Mytilus edulis: one gene and its partner. The protein of the gene in region 1 purifies or fractionates together with the protein of each later gene. This does not show direct contact. Links are inferred from orthologs where the notes say so. Each region holds a gene or a part of one and is shown on either strand. Other genes may lie near its edges.

The links. Proteins that work in one complex are often made in the same cells at the same time.
Region 2: the proteins of V-type proton ATPase catalytic subunit A (region 1) and ATP synthase subunit gamma, mitochondrial-like fractionate together in Homo sapiens (co-fractionation; 3 studies listed by BioGRID). This does not show direct contact. The link is inferred for Mytilus edulis from reciprocal best matches to the Homo sapiens genes ATP6V1A and ATP5F1C.

What each region holds. Positions count from the first base shown.
Region 1 is NC_092348.1:77,322,273-77,330,751, reverse strand, and holds the start of V-type proton ATPase catalytic subunit A, read left to right. Parts: upstream 1-5,015; 5' UTR 5,016-5,091; coding exon 5,092-5,094; intron 5,095-7,426; coding exon 7,427-7,523; intron 7,524-8,479. Other genes in the region: uncharacterized protein, read left to right, coding at 72-728, 1,982-1,999. UniProt on the Homo sapiens protein: Catalytic subunit of the V1 complex of vacuolar(H+)-ATPase (V-ATPase), a multisubunit enzyme composed of a peripheral complex (V1) that hydrolyzes ATP and a membrane integral complex (V0) that translocates protons.
Region 2 is NC_092344.1:88,077,718-88,086,127, forward strand, and holds the start of ATP synthase subunit gamma, mitochondrial-like, read right to left. Parts: upstream 3,638-8,410; 5' UTR 3,559-3,637; coding exon 3,524-3,558; intron 432-3,523; coding exon 397-431; intron 1-396.

The DNA of each region.
Region 1 (8,479 bases):
TTTTGGATTTTGCATGGTTTTCTCGTAGACATCCATTTAATACTGTAATAGTGTAAAAAAATACTTTGTAGATTCAGTTGTCCTTTCTGTATGTTGGTCATACGCATGAAGACATTGACCAAATGTTTAGTGTATTTTCCGATAGACTGAGGCACACGGATGCCACAACTCTTCCTGGACTACATCAACATTTGTATAATGCACAGGAACTGCATGGGTGCTATAATGTGAGCGGTTGGCTAGACCCATGCATAGCTGGAGTTAAAAGCCATTCCAAGTCAAATATTTTTAGATACAGATATGATGAGGCAAACAAGTCAGTGAATGTATACTATCGAAAAAATTCAGAACAACCATGGAAAACTCTCCGAAGAGGATTTTTTAAAGTGAGACCAAATGGGTTACCATTGCTAACAAATTCAAATCCACCAGTACTGATGGCCTCTTTTCACCTTTTAGACATGGATGTTTTAAAAAAGGGCAATTCTGTCTGGTCAACGTATTTGACGCAAGAAGCCAGATTATGGTGGACGAATAAACTGTCTTTTATACAGAATATGCAGAGTAACAAATACCAACTGACACAATATTCCAGAAAGGGATGTATTTGGCGACTAAATTCGTTCAAGCCATATGACAAAAATGCACTTGAAGATTCTGTGGATGGCACTGATCCCGTGCCATCCGATGTAAGACAGCTTCTAGTGGGCGAACAGGAAACACCGGAGGTAAGTCATCTATGCGTTGCATCATATGACCAATTCCACAGTGTTTATGACAAAATAGGTGTTCTTATCAAATCAATACAAAATACAAAAGGGAATATTTGTCAATATTTTAATGCAATAACAATATAAGTTATAAAAAATACATACACAATCTCAATGGGTTGGTTGTACATGTAAATAAAATGAACAAAACAACGGCCTGTATACATGCATGACATATAACATGAATACTAATATGATATCACACTTTGTATTCTGTTTGAAATTGATTGTTTTTATTTAAAAGGTGAAATAAGTAGTAATTGCCTTTTTCGTCCATTCTCGATCTAAGTTAAGTCAATACCCACCAAAGCTTAGAATAAAATCAAGAAGGCGAAAAAAGAAAATAGTGCATGCTTGTGTATTCGTACATGTGTATCTGTAAACACATTTAAATATAAATTAAATATTGACATGATAGAAAATACGAATCATTTCTTCTTTTGAATATGTCGTCAAGCTCAATTTTGTACATTTTTTATTTGTTTTTACCAGAATAATTTCAAAAACTAAAACAAAATGATCTGCTAACCAATTAATACTATCCATTAGAATAACACGTACATCTGTTTATATAGTGAGGCATGCTTAACGTCCAGTGGCAATTATTACGTGCATACTGAGGACGAGAAAATCTTTAAAAAATATACAATAGGTATATGTTATATGAGTAAGCACGTCATGTATAGGTCGGAAAATTTAAACCAACTCTTGAAAACTATAGTAGATAGACCAGAAAGTTGACTTTCAACAGACCTCTGAAAGAGTGGTTGTGATGGTCAAAAAATTGCATATATATCGGGTACATGATCGGGTTCTTGAATTTCATGTTCCTAAATGCATTGTAATTATGCACCGTTCTATTTTTTTTTAATTCAAATTGATATATAGATAAAGATTCAATTTTAGACAGTTTTATATTCTCGTGGGATTTTGTCTATGTGTGTTACATTTTAGTGTTATGTCGTTGTTCTCCTCTTATATTTAATGCGTTTCCCTCTGTTTTAGTTTGTTATCCCGATTTTGTTTTTTGTCCATGGATTTATGAGTTTTGAACAGCGGTATACTACTGTTGCCTTTATTTACTGTTAAGCGGTTTCTTAAGTTTCTCAGACAGTAATATACAATGCAAGTCATTGCAGAACGCAACATCTGCAAATATTTCATGTATTTTGATAACATTTTGTCAAAAAAATAACATTTATTTTTTTCAGATTATTGTCAATAATTGATGATGAGGGACACGTACACACGATCTGAAGAAATCAGTATTGATGGACCTTTTAATCCAGATATGGAAATCAGTCTTGAGGAACTTTATTATCCATCCATCTTCGAACATATGTGTTGTGAAACTTTTTTTATTCATAAAACATTGCAGAAAATATTGTTGAGAACACATCTTAAAAGTAAAATATCAAAATCTGGCATCAATCGTACTTGGATTGACGGCAGAGCTTAACGATTACTATCGGCAATTATTTCTAACGTGCAGTTGTCAAACAGATACAATATTGTATAACGATGTATAATATTTCATTTCTCTTCTCTTCGTTTTGTTTGTTTTTGTTTTTATCATGTTATTTGATTGGTCTTCGTTAAATTATACACAATAATCCTATCAGATTAACTTATTAATATCAACATGATCAAAGCAAACATGATTTATAAATTGTTATGTTTACACACAAAATACAAGATATAATATTTAATCTTTATTTCAAAATAGCGTTCATAATGATCAAGCAATAAAATATGTACTTATATACAACAATGAATTTATTTGGTTTTTTTTTTCTAATATTTTGCATGCATAAAACGTGGAATTATACAGAATATAGGTTAACTATTGGAGCGTGTGGCATAGTTGATCTAGTTATAATACATTTGAGAAAGTTTGAATTTTCAAGCATAAAAGGTTATTCATCTTTATCTTTATAAAATGTTCTATGAAAGTATAATCTTTCTTTTTTTGTCAATGGCCCTTACTACTTATTATTATATTCCTAATAGGAGATGAGGATGAGATGGATATTGAAGATAATATAAAAATATATTCGATTGTTTTGATAGTCATTGAGACCCTTTTAACCCGAGCAACACGACAGGTGCCACATGTGGAATAGATCTGCGTATCCTTCCGGAGCACCTGAGATACCGCCTGTTTTTGATGGGGTTCATGTTATTAGGTTATAAAAAATATGAACTTCATTTATATTCTTGTTTTTACCACTTAGAAGTGATACATTTGAATGTGTTGTTGTCCGTCTCACGCCAGGGGTTATTACATTTTGGTTGCATGTTTTCTTGAGAACTTCACTCAATCCATCAAGATGCTATACACTGTCATGCTTTAAAAGATTTAATGTTCAAAGTTCAACTTTTGTGACTTTTTAGTGTACTCCATTCGTATCTGTGGATCGAAGGAAGCAATACATACCTCAGATAGTCTTATATTAGTCCTTATTTTTTCAAATCTTTCCATGTTTTTTAAAAACGAAAAATAGATATGAGTATCGATACTCTCATCATACTCAAGGTAGAAACATGTGTTACAAGAGTATCGATACTCTCATCATACTCAAGGTAGAAACATGTATTAAATGAGTATCGATACTCTCAATATGCTCATGGTAGAAACCTATTTAAAAGAGTATTGATACTCTCAAAGTAGAAAGCTGTTTAAAAGAGTATCGATACTCTCGAGGTGGATACCTTTTCAAAGAGTATCGATACTCTCAATATACTCATGGTATAAAACTTATTTAAAAGAGTATCGATACTCTCGAGGTGGATAACTGTTTAAAAGAGTACCAATACTCTCAAGGTAGAAAATCTTTTAAAAGCATATTGATTCTCTCAATTTAGAAACCTATTTCCAAAAGTATCAATACTATCATTATGTTCATTGTAGAAACCTGTTTTGAAGAATTTCGAATCTCTTAAAGTAGAAAACAGTTTCAAAGAGTATCGATACTCTGTCAGAAAAAAAACTCTAGTCTAGATGCTAAAAAATGGTTCTAGAAAAAAAAATCACCGGAGTTTTCTAACGTTGGAGGTAGGTACCGCTTTATTGAGTATTGCTACTCTTAAAAAATGAGAGCAATATTGATACTCTTTAGTAAAAAGAGCTATAACAAGAAAAGTAATACTTTGTGGTATTATAAATGTTACTCATAGTACTAGACCGTACTCTTGAAGTAAAGAAATAAAAGAACCGCATGCAACAAAGAGTGTCAATACTCTTTAGATAAGACTGTTATAGAAGTAAACGTACCAAATAATGTGGAGAAAATCTGTTTTATACAAATTGAAGTAACTATATTTGAGTATCAAAACTCTCTTACAAATAAAATGAAAAGAATCTGACGAATTTTATAGAATTGATGATTATTTTTGTATCTAATGTCCCTGTTGTACAAATTAATGTACATATTCTTCATGTAAAAAGTTAATATCAAAACTGGGCCAAAATGGGAATTATTTATTTTCCCTTTTTTATTTTTAACGTGTTATATGTTTATGAGAATAAAATATTCGTATTCGTATTCGTGGATTAAATTATTATAACTTCAAAGATAATTGACTTCTCTACAGTTGAATATTCAATGCTTAAATAATTGGATTATATAAGTTATAAATTGTTTATGTAATTGACAACAGCTTTTGTCTCATGATAAACCAATCAACTAGAAACTTTATTAAATCAATTACGAATAAGTTTTTGTGGATCGACTCAATCATTCAAGTGCTCCGGGATGGTACCAAACAGATCCTGCTCACATGTGGCACCCGTTATGCCGGTCATGTTAGTATAAAGTCAATATACATGTGTTCCTCGTCTAAAAAACCTAGAAATCACTCTAATTCGGTAGGTAACATTCGGGAAAGGAGGACGAATAATCTATCAACGATGTTTCTAAGCTGATTATCATTATGACAATTGAAGTCAGTCAAAATCCGGCGAACTTAAAAGCGAATCATATCAGAGACATATAATACAATTGTATTATATGTCTCTGATCATATTATTTCACTTTTTCATTAGATTGAGAGAAAAAAAACTTTTTCTTAATATTTTATATCACATATTTAATGCCACTTTGAAGTAATTTCATAAGCATTGATATTTTAAAGGGATTACTTTGAAATTGTTATAAATTTACAACTGAATTAATTTATCCGGATCGGTATTCGTTATTCGCCGATAAAGTTTTATATTATTACAAAACCGCTTCAGCATTTTTATCAAACCGGAAGTCGTTTTCTCTCAAGACATCGATTATCACATGATAATTTTACAAATCCAATATTTCATTGCAAAATGGTAAGTATTTATTTAAGAATTGGCTGAATACTACATATGTTAAACAGTCACCACAAAACAATTGAAGTTCTACAAAGATCGACTAAGAAATGTGTTATTCATGAATCCTAAATGCACCATGTAGCCACTCGAAGTCATTTGCCGGTTTCTTGGTTCTACAGTCATGACAGTTTACATATACAACCACTAACCATTGATGAATGACCGCATTTGAAAGGTCTTTAAACTATCTATTTTCTAGAATTCTCATAACAGATTTAACTTGTCAGGTTTTTACCAGGAGATTGAATTAATGTTGTATTCTTAATGACTGTAACAGTGTAATGTCCAGTGGCAACTATTACATATATATTCATGATGATACCAAGTTAAAAATAGTGATTTTATAGTATGTCTTGTTTTTTATACTTAATTGAGGCAGTTGCTTCTAGATGAGATCCAAAAGGTTATTATAACAGGATTTTCCCATTTATCCCCATGTCATGATCATCCTTTTCGGTAATCAGATACACATTTGCAAGAAATCATCTGCTCCTTCAATACAAATTTGCAGGAAATCAGATGCCTTCATAATGTTTCTGAAAATTTTGAAAGCTAACGAAAAACTGGGAAGGGTTTTATCAACCACTTAACTTTGATGTTGAAGGTCTTTCAGGTCGTTGATCATGTTGATAGAAATATCCAAGAGTTATCAAAGGTACCATGCTTATAATTTAATACGCCAGATGTGCATATTGTCTACATAAGACTCATCAGTGATGCTCAGATCAATAGTTATAAAGCCAAACAAGTACAAAGTTGAGCATTGAGGACCAAAAATTCCAAAAAGTTGTGCCAAATATGGCTAAGCGAATAAATGCATGGCCATGGGATAAGAAAATCCTTAGTTCTTCTCGAAAAATTAATATTTTTGTAAACAGGAAATTTATGAAAAAAATTACCATCTACAATTATTTATGCTTCTTTAATTTTTGGAGTATAAAATAGGGAAAAAATCATATTTCTAGCATACACAAGCTTAGACATGTTAGACGGTACAATCTTATCTCGAAACATAATTTAGGTAGAACTCCAGACATACATGTATGTCTTTTGATGATGTTGATTCACTTTTGCCTTTCAGGAATTATATCCATGATACCTAGGTCATTGCCCCAAAATTACACCAACTTTTTCACACCAGTTGACAGTTGAAGCTATCTGGGGCCTTGTTCAATTAATATATTGTGCTTAAAACTTTTCGTAGAACTGACAAAACCATTGTAAACACATCAAACAAAGCAATTAATGACTTTCATTTGTCTTGTAAAAATTGCTTCATAAACTATAAAAATGTTCAAATGTTTGCTTTCCAAACTTTTTTTTCCCACACAGCTCATTCATGCTGATGACCTTTGTTTTTTTTTGCGATTCAGGAAGTTGTCTAAACGACTTAGTTTTTTTTTGGGAATGGACTCAATATAATGATATACATGTACATGTATTGAGCAGGTGTATTAGAAAATGTACATTATGTTGATTCTATGCCATAACTTTAGAACTCACTGGCTTTCAAATTGGAATATTTTGTTACTGATGACAAAATGATCAAAATGAAGGCTAAGTTTAATTGTGATATTTTTTCAATTCTGCCGTGCATACATTGTATATGGTGTGGTCCTAAGTTGGTTTGAAAATACCATTTCCTGTTGTTTCTGTGCAAAAACTTAACATGCTTAAGAATAATTTATTCATTGCTTTTCAATGTTGTTTTTTTTGCCCTTCATTTCTTTATCATAATGACACTATCGTGACTATTAAATATAATATCAGATAGAAATTGACCTTATGCCAATGAATACCAATACATCTGTTAACAGTTGAAAAATCTCTACAGAAAGGCTGTAAATATTTAAAATTGAGTTGTTATGAGAACCCTACAAAAGGAACCAAAATTTATCTTTTAATTCATATTTGAATGCTCCAAAACCAATTAAAGTCTTAGCTTATATATGGAGTTATATATGTACATGTATAGTTCCATTGCATAAGGACACAGCTCATATATAATGAAAACCAGACATACTGTCATTTTTCCTCTTACATGTCTTAAAGCAATGTCATATTTGTATCTTTCATATTTAAATGCAGATGTCTAAAATATAAAAAAGGAATGTTTACCATATTTACATTTTTACAATTTTCTTTATTGAAAAAAACCCCAATCAGTATGGTAACATTAAGATAAAGTGGGTTGTGAAAATACTCCAAATACTAGGGTATAAACAATTATTAGCTAAGAAACTATGAGCAAAAATATTCACTACAAATGTCTATAAAATTGTATTTTTAGGCTGGTGGTTTAGACAGAGCTAAGAGTAGTCTACCAAAGATTAAAGATGAAGAAAGAGAATCTATGTTTGGCAATGTGTTTGCTGTTTCTGGACCAGGTAACCTTTTTTATTTACCATGTTAACTTTAGTTACATGTATATGATGTACAATTCTGAGAAACCTAAATGTATCAATTGACCCACAGCATATAATTTTCAAGAAGCATGCTCTGAGGTATAAAATCAAGGTCACGAATTGTTTAAATGCTGTGCTATCATCAGTCAGGGGACTTACTGAAATAAGTGATTTTTAAATCACTAATTTGAGTAGCAAATTCGAAGTTTTGTCACAAATTGTGATTTTGTAATTTTACCAAAATTTTAAACACATCTATAGGTTTAAATAATATTTTTTCATTTGTAAAATTGAAAGAAAATGAATTTTTTGCTTCTTTTAAGTAGCAAGGTTTATGCCTTTGATGCTATCATTTAGCAAAAAAATCTATTTTAGTTGAAAAAATGCTGTAATAATGGCTTGACATAATGAACTGATACTTTCTTAAAAGATTTTTCCCAGCAGTGGGAGTATTTTTCCTGTAAAGTTCAAGGCTTCATCTTTCATATTATGTAATAAAATTCTACTGTTCGCGATAAAAAATTCACTGTTCGGGGGTGTTGAAATTAGTGGGGGTTATTAAAATAATGATACTTAAAGAAGTGATTTTTGGGAAGGAAATTGAGGTATGATACTTAAACAAATAATTTTTATGTCATTATCCTAGATTCGGTACAAGGTCATCACCTGAAATGACCTGGCCATCCTAGACAACACAGATGTTGGTTCTGATAAGTTTAGAAACATAATTAGTCCCTGGATCATTAGTATTCTATATTTAAAGCTACAGTAAAATTAAATCACTTCTTCTATTATAGTGATTATTTTGTACTACTTAAATAGGTGATTATTAAAGAAAGACAACTCTAACTTCCAACCTTTATGGAAATAATGTTACTTGAATCAGTGATTTAGAAAATCACTCATTTAAGTAAGTCCCCTGACTGATCATACTACTT
Region 2 (8,410 bases), on another chromosome or scaffold:
AACAATGTTTTAATTGAAGAATGTGAAATCTACAGTGTTAAAGGAAACATTAAGCTCAAGGCAAATGAAGAATGGTTGTTACTCTTAATATGTTTCAATAAATGACGTGGTAATAGAGTGAGGTACATGTACCACAGGAATGCCTCAATTATGATGTAGTAATAAGAATGTATTGCTAACTTAAAATGCCCCAAAAAGGGAAAATAGGATTTCAAACATTGAAAAAAAAATCTTTTCTGCTTTTAGCTACACATGTATCAATAAGCACATACATGATATGTGCCATCTTTTTTTTCTAGAATTGACTGTGTCCTGATTAAAAAATAATTTTAATTGTTATGTCAAAATGCAAAATTGAAATGAAATATCAATGATAAGAAAAATATTCCAACTTACTTTCCTTTAATGTTGCCATCCCACGCACTTGCGTGCTAAAATAGAAAAAAAAATTGTGATTAAACTAATAACAACAAAAATAATAATACAAATAACTAGAGGCTCTTAAGAACCTGTGTTGCTCATCTTGATATATGTGCATATCAAACAAATTACACAGATGTAAATGTATTCATTACAAAATTGTGTTTTGGTGATGGTTAATGTGTTCGTAGATCTTACTTTACTGAACATTCTTGCTACTTACAATTTTCTCTATCTATAATAAACTTGGCCCTTTCATTACAGAGGAAAATATTTTGTAAAAATTTACAAAAATTTACAAAATTAATGAAAATTTATAAAAATTGACTATAAAGGGCAATTACTCCTTAAGGGGTCAACTGACCATTTTGATCATTTTAACTCAACCGCCGGTTAAATCTCAACCGCCGGTTACCATATCTATATAAATAGGGTGCAAACATTAATCCACCATTCTGCCTCTGATGAAGGTCCTTTTTGGACCGAAACCAGTCAGGCTATGAAACATCACCAGGCGCTGTTAATTATGTGTATTGGTATATATAGTGTACTATATTTTTATTGACCATTTTGGTCATGTTGACTTATTTGTAGATCTTACTTTGCTAAACATTATTGCTGTTTACAGTTTATCTCTATCTACATGTATAATAGTATTCAAGATAATAACCAAAAATTACCAAACCAGTTTTCCAATTCATCTAAAAATTTCAGGGCAGACAGATATTGACTTAATAAACAATTTAACCCCTTTGTCAGATTTGCTCTAAATACATTAAATTTCGTTTCAGAGTTATAAGCCAAAATCTACATTTTACCCCTATGTTCTATTGTAAGCCATCGGGCCATCTTAGTTGGTTGGCCAGGTCACCGCACACATTTTTAAAACTAGAACCCTAATAATGATTGTGGCTAAGTTTGATTAAATTTGGCACAGTAGTTTCAGAGAAGATTTTTGAAGAAGATTACAAAATTTACGAAAAATTGGTAAAAAATGACTATAAAGGGCAATAACTCCTTAAGGAGTCAACTGACAATTTTGGTCATGTTGACTTATTTGTAGATCTTACTTTGCTGAACATTATTGCTGATTACAGATTAAATCTATCTGTAATAATATTCAAGGTAATAATAACCAATAACGGCAAAATTTCCTTAAAATTACCAATTTTAATGTTCCAGTCAGTCAATATACATGATATATGCAGTATAATAACAAATGAACTTATCAATCCTCATCATAATTTTCACTACATACAGTATTGTTTTTATTCATTTCAAGCTGACTTAGTTTGTCAAAACAAAATGTTGTTATTATTATTAATCCACCAAAGGCAGTTATTTCAATACAACAATCTGAGTCAGAAATATATTATTAAGATCAATTTTAATACCCTTAGGCTTATACAATTATTTTAAAATAAAAATAGGGAGAAGTGATCATTGATGAACAAACTTAAGGTGAACGGACCAAGAAAAATATGTTATCAGGGTGAACAGACCAGATACCCTATCTTATGATCATAAACAAGCTTCTGTCCAATGCAAGTTTGGTAAAAATCAAAGATATTTTAAGAACGTTATTAAATATTAAAATTTCTAAAAATTTAACAACAAAGTGAATATTTGTGGACGACGCAAAGGATGGATTGTAGGATTGCTATGTCTTACTGTTGTGACAAAGTCACAGGCTTAAAAATAGTTGCAATACGTCGTAGGAAGGCATCCAAGAAAAAAGTTAAGGTTCATCATAACCTTTTAAGCTAAAATGGTTGTATTTACACCATAAAATTTACTCGAGTACAGAGAAACCTGTGCACTGCACCTGTGAAAGTTTTAAAGCATGGCTGGATCTAGATAATCAAATTTTAAATGCATTTTATAGATCAGAAAATTATAAACTTTTTTGGATTTTGATATTCATTTTGAAACTCGTGTGTTTGTTTATTTTGCTATCTTCTGCAGACTGGAAAGAAAGGCACCTAAAAATCCAGGAAAGAAATTCATTTTTTAAAACATAGACCTGGTAGGGGGTCTCATTGGGGGGGGGGGGGGGGGGGGGGGGTTCTGATCCCGGATCTCGCTTACTGTTTTGTCAGATTCCCATTTCCCGCTTACACTATGTACATAAGCAATTCTCATTTTCTTGTCATTTCCTGGGTCCCGCTAGACCTCATTTCCCGTTTTCATGACACAATAATTTGACTTTCATGTGTCACGCTGACAAAAAATCGACAATCCTGTGTCACACTTAGATCCCGAGACTCACTAGGTCTAACTTTTATATACCTAGGTCCTGCCATGCCTTAAAACTTTCCTAGATGCATCAGTTTATCTGTACTCGTAGTAGATTTTTGGGTGTAAAAATGGCCATATTTTTCAATTCCTTCAAATGAACCTTTAAGTAGCCTTGTAAGAGGGGGGATAGGACCTTTATCGGGACTCCGGGATCGACTGTTTTTAAGCTCGGGATTTCGGGATTGACCCTTTCGGGATCCGGAAATTCTTTTTTTCGGATTTCGGGATGCCGGGATTTACTTTAATTAATTTGTGGACCTCGGGATTTAGTGTTTTTAAGCCCGGGATTTCGGGATCAGGACCCCCTCCTACCCCCCCTCTTGTAAGACATCATAATATTTGGACTAATGGCAATGATGCTACCGAGTACTGTATTCAGGCACGCTTTAATGTCAATTCGTCTCATATAACTCATTGAAGATCTTAGATTTTGAAAGCTGAACTGTGCGACAGTAAACTAAAGTACAAAATGTATTCTTTTGAAAATCAAGGCATATAACTAGCTAGTCCAAATAATTATAACGTCTTGAAAAGCTATTATATTTTTTTTCTTTGGTACCTTACATCGACGCAGAAAGGTGTCAAAGCAAAAATTTAAAATAGCCTTCCAAGACGTCATAATTATTTGGACTAAAAACTAGCAAGACCGATTTATTTTTGTCAACTTTGACAGAGGTCACAAAGCCGGTTAGATTGCTGTTGAAAAACAACAAGTACCACATGAGAGCGGCTTGTTCCTGTTTTCCTAAAGATTAAATGATTCATTATTTTAGGAATTATTTGGTTTAATTTGTATTGCACTAACCATTGTGGGATAAATTGTGTTGTTCGGGAGAACATGATGATTGTTTGATGGAACTTCTCCCAAAGCGAGGCACTGTGCGGAAGCTATTTAAGGGAGACAACTCCACATAAATTAACAACTATCAGCTTTTGAAAAAGCTTGTCTCAATGTATAATAATAATAATAATAATAATAATAATAATAATAATAATAATAATAATAATAATAATAATAATAATAATAATAATAATAATAATAATAATAATAATAAAAAATATTAATTATAAATTCTTTATTTAAAGAGAGTAATTCAACTGAGTCCCTCAAACAAAATACATGTTTACAGTTAACATTCGTACTTTCAAACATTTAAATACAATATATAGGTTCATTCTCATTTATCCAACTTTTTTAAAATATAGGTAGTACAGCTAAAAAAAGTTGGATAGATGAGATCAAAGGTAATCAAGAACAAAGGGTTTTCCAATTAGAGTTTGGTTGAATGACAGGTGAAAAATAAGACTGAAAATTATACCAGGATTAAATTTTCTCAGTGTAGTGTTATTTAGCATAGCATGTTAAAATGTGCAACTGACATTTAGTTAATGTAATGTAAATCATTTGAAAGTATTTTTAAGTTATTTAACCGTTAACTAAAATGTGAATTGGATAGAAAAATATCAGTTGCACTTTTATTCATGAAGGGATTTGTCAATGAGATGGAGCTTTTTTTGTATATTAGATCCTCTTCGTTCATTTTTTTCTGTTCTTCTGTCCAAATGATCCAAATAGGACAAAATATAAGTTGAATACGTTTTACTACACAAAGACTGAACAGAACAAAATTCACAAAACATATATGCATACATATATATAAAAAAAGCACACGCAATTCTAGAACAAAGATTATAAAATACTGGCACAGTAATATCAACCGCACACCGTGACTAAATGAATGTTCAGTAGATTCACACAACATACAATGGCATTAAAAAAATGTCCACTATAGATACACACATCATACATTTTTTTTTATTAAATCTGTAGCCTGCAACTGCTAGGTAGTGACCTCTGTCATGAGGTATTAGTTGTACTCTTACTTGTGCGTTTGCCATTTGTGCAATAATGAAATTTCGGATTAAATGGCTACATCTATAATACTAAAATTACGAGGTCCAATTTGTCAGCCGTCATCGGGTAAAAACGACAAATCAAAGAATTCAACTCTATATATAACTAATATAGGACAATGGTGTAGATTAAAAATTACACCACTCCAGACCCTTTTTGTTTTCCACATAATTAATATTGCCAATAATTAACAAGTTCCGGGTCTAATCCGATACCGATACCAATAGTATATTCACCTGTTAGCTATTACCTTATCTGTGCGTTCCGCATTTGACAGGCGCACCACCAACGGTGTATTTAGGATTTTGCTATATACACGGGTCATAATCAAAGGGCTGACACTACTAAATTCAATCATTGTCAAATTGTTCACTATTGTAGCTTTATTCAGCAATCAGCAAGACTTTCTAAGATAACTAATGTAGGACAATGCTGTTGATTAAAAAATACCCCATTCCTGGATAGCCTGGACCTTTTGTTCCAGGTCGACGGGTTCAAACAGAAAGATTTGAAGGCAGAGAAAACTGTGTATCTTATAATCGACATGACTTTATCAGATGACAATAACAATTACTAAAATAAGGATTAGGCATAGTTATATACTTTAATTCAGTCACGGACCCGCGATATCACGGGTGTGTACTTGTATATACTAACCATGAGCTTAACTAAGAAATATTCTTTATAGTGGGTCTCATTGGGGTCTAAGCGTGACGCGGGATTGCTGATTTTTTGTAAGCGTGACACGTGAAAGTCAAATTATTGTGGCGTGAAAACGGGAAATGAGGTCTTGCGGGACCCGGGAAATGACAAAAAAATGAGAATTGCTTACGTACATAGTGTAAGCGGGATACGGGAATCTGACAAAACAGTAAGCGGGATCCGGGATCGGAACCCCCCCAATGAGACCCCCTTTATAAAAATAGAGTTCATTCATTCATTCATTCACATGTTTTGGAAAGATTGCTGAGTAGTATTCCATAGTTTTAATTTTTAACACTTGGAGATATGTGATTGGGTTGTGAAAAATGTTTAGATTTTTGCATTGATGAGCAAATATGCTGAACACGAACAATGATTAATTTGGTAATCACTTTGAATCAGCACCACAAATAAAAGTTAACAAGTCTAAAAAAAAGTAATAAACACATCATATTTACTCAATAAAATGTTAATATAAAATTATTATTGATTGTGGGTTTCTTCTGTATAAAAGATTCAATTTATTCAAAATATACTAAATTTTATTCAAAATATACTAAATTTTATTCAAAATATACTAAATTTTATTCAAATATAAAATGTAAGAAGTTTACTATAGCCTATATTTTATGTATACATTTTTTAAATAATATAAAAACATACAGGAACAAATTTACTGTCAAATTATAGAAAAAACACCTTATAATTACTAAACAAACAACTCAATAATTAACAAAAATAAAAGTTGGCTAAATGAGAATGCCTTATTTTAAAAAGTTGGATAAATGAGAAGACACCAATATATATTACAATATGTTTTACTAGTACCAGGGACTTTTTATACTAAGTCCTGTTATATAGTACATACATAATTCAATCATTCAAACACAAATGACAATAAATGGCAATTATTGATAAAGTTATGGTTAAATTTTCTTATTCTTACAACCACAGAAAGAAAACTAACTATTAGACTTGCATACAATTTTTAAGAAAATGAGTATAACAATGTTTCTTTATTTTGAGTGGTAAATTATTAATCTAATGCAATTAATAGAACATAAGACACGAGTTAGAGTTATTTCGCAGTGCATTTCTTTAAGACAGTAACAGAAAAAAAACGCCTGCGCCTTCTAATTAATATTTTTACATAATTATATCAAAATTATAGAAATCCGATCATATTTTGTATTACTTTCAAAATGTTTCAAATAAATAAGATGTCGTCCAAATAATCATGCATATATCCCACTGGATTCCAACACGCAATTGTCTCCATCAGAAACTCAGACATGCTCAGTATATCACAATCTAAGTAGCCCTCTTCAAAAAATGTCCTGAAAAGATCTGCTCGATTTAAATTAACTTGCAAAAAACCTCTGCACAAATCAAGGGTAGAAAACCATAAATTCCATAAAAGCTTCAAAGGAATCATTTTTCCTGAAAAAGAGATAAACATCATCCACAACTATCAATTCACCTTTCCAGAATCTATCAGAGGACAAAGGGTAATCTCATTATTCGTACACCAAAATGAAAATAACGTTACGTCATTGGTTGCACTTCTATTGTTTATTACGTTTTAAACCAATTACAACGTTTTGGAGTACGCTTTTGGAAATGATTACCCAGAATACATTAGATTTTAAAACGGCGAAATTATAGTCAACACGAAACATATACGACCATATTTCTTTTTAAAAGCACAACTCATGTTAAACAAGGGCGATCTGATGTCTTGATCACATCAGTCACCAATATTTAAACAATATGTTATATTCAACTAATTTCGTAGATGGTCAGGGTTACGCCTGGTTACCGTTGGCCCGCATAACCAAACCAGGCAAATCACCTGTATTTGTGTGATGTTTATGATGATGGTTCCCCCTAGATCTTTATCAGTTTCGGAAAAATCTCCCTTATGTTTAAGGATCAGATTTCGAAGCTGTCTTTCTTTGTTACGAAAAGACTGTTTACTTTATCTCTAAAGCAAGTTTTGTATATCTAAGTCTGATATAAATTATATTTGGTCTTAAATACTCCTCGCACCTGTCCTTCATTGTCCCTTGTGGACAGTTTTTATACTTTTCACCAGGAATTCAGAAGATTGATCGATACTTGATCACAAGTTTTATCAAAGTTCGACCAATCAAACGATTGACCATTCTGATATTTTACAATCCATAAGAAGTGTCTCATTGTTTGTCAATTTGGAATGCATGCATATCTCGTGAGAAATGACATTTCCCTCACAGGTGGATTATTAGTCGTTTCTGAAGCGACAATATTATATTACCCAATAGAACCATAAAAATAGGAATGCCCACAGAGTAGCAAGTTCTTTGCTACCACATTGATCCCACAATCATTAACTTGGGTTATTAATCAAAGATTTGTATAATCTATAATTTTGTAATACTACGGAAGCGTATTAGGGACATAGAAAAAAATAAAATTGGTGTGACATTTTTTTTCAAAGTCAAAATTTTGGCATTTAAAATCTCAAAATTTCGACTTTAACTCGAAATTTTAACTTTTCTTATCTTAAAATTTTGACTTTCTAAAATCTTGAAATTTCAACTCTTTTAAAACTCGAAATTTCGACTTTTTCTAAACTCGAAATTTCGCCTTCTCCAAACTCGAAATTTCGACTTTTTCTTAACTCGAAATTTCAACTTCTTTTAAACTCAAAATTTCGACTTCTCTTAAACTCAAAATTTCGACTTTTAAACTCGAAATTTCGACTTTTTTTAAACTCGAAATTTCGACTTTTTTTAAACTCGAAATTTCGACTTCTTTTAAACTCGAAATTTCGACTTCTTTTAAACTCGAAATTTCGACTTCTTTTAAACTCAAAATTTCAACTTTCTTTAAACTTAAAATTTCGACTTTTCCTCAGTATTTATACGTTTGCGATTACCACATTCACAGTCATTTATATCAGCAAGGCGGAGAGTCATATACATCACAAACTTCATAAGCATATTTTAATAAACTAAACCATGTTAGAGAGGTTATTTTAGATAGAAAATCTTGTTTTGGCGAAGATTAATATAAATAAAATATGTTTCACGT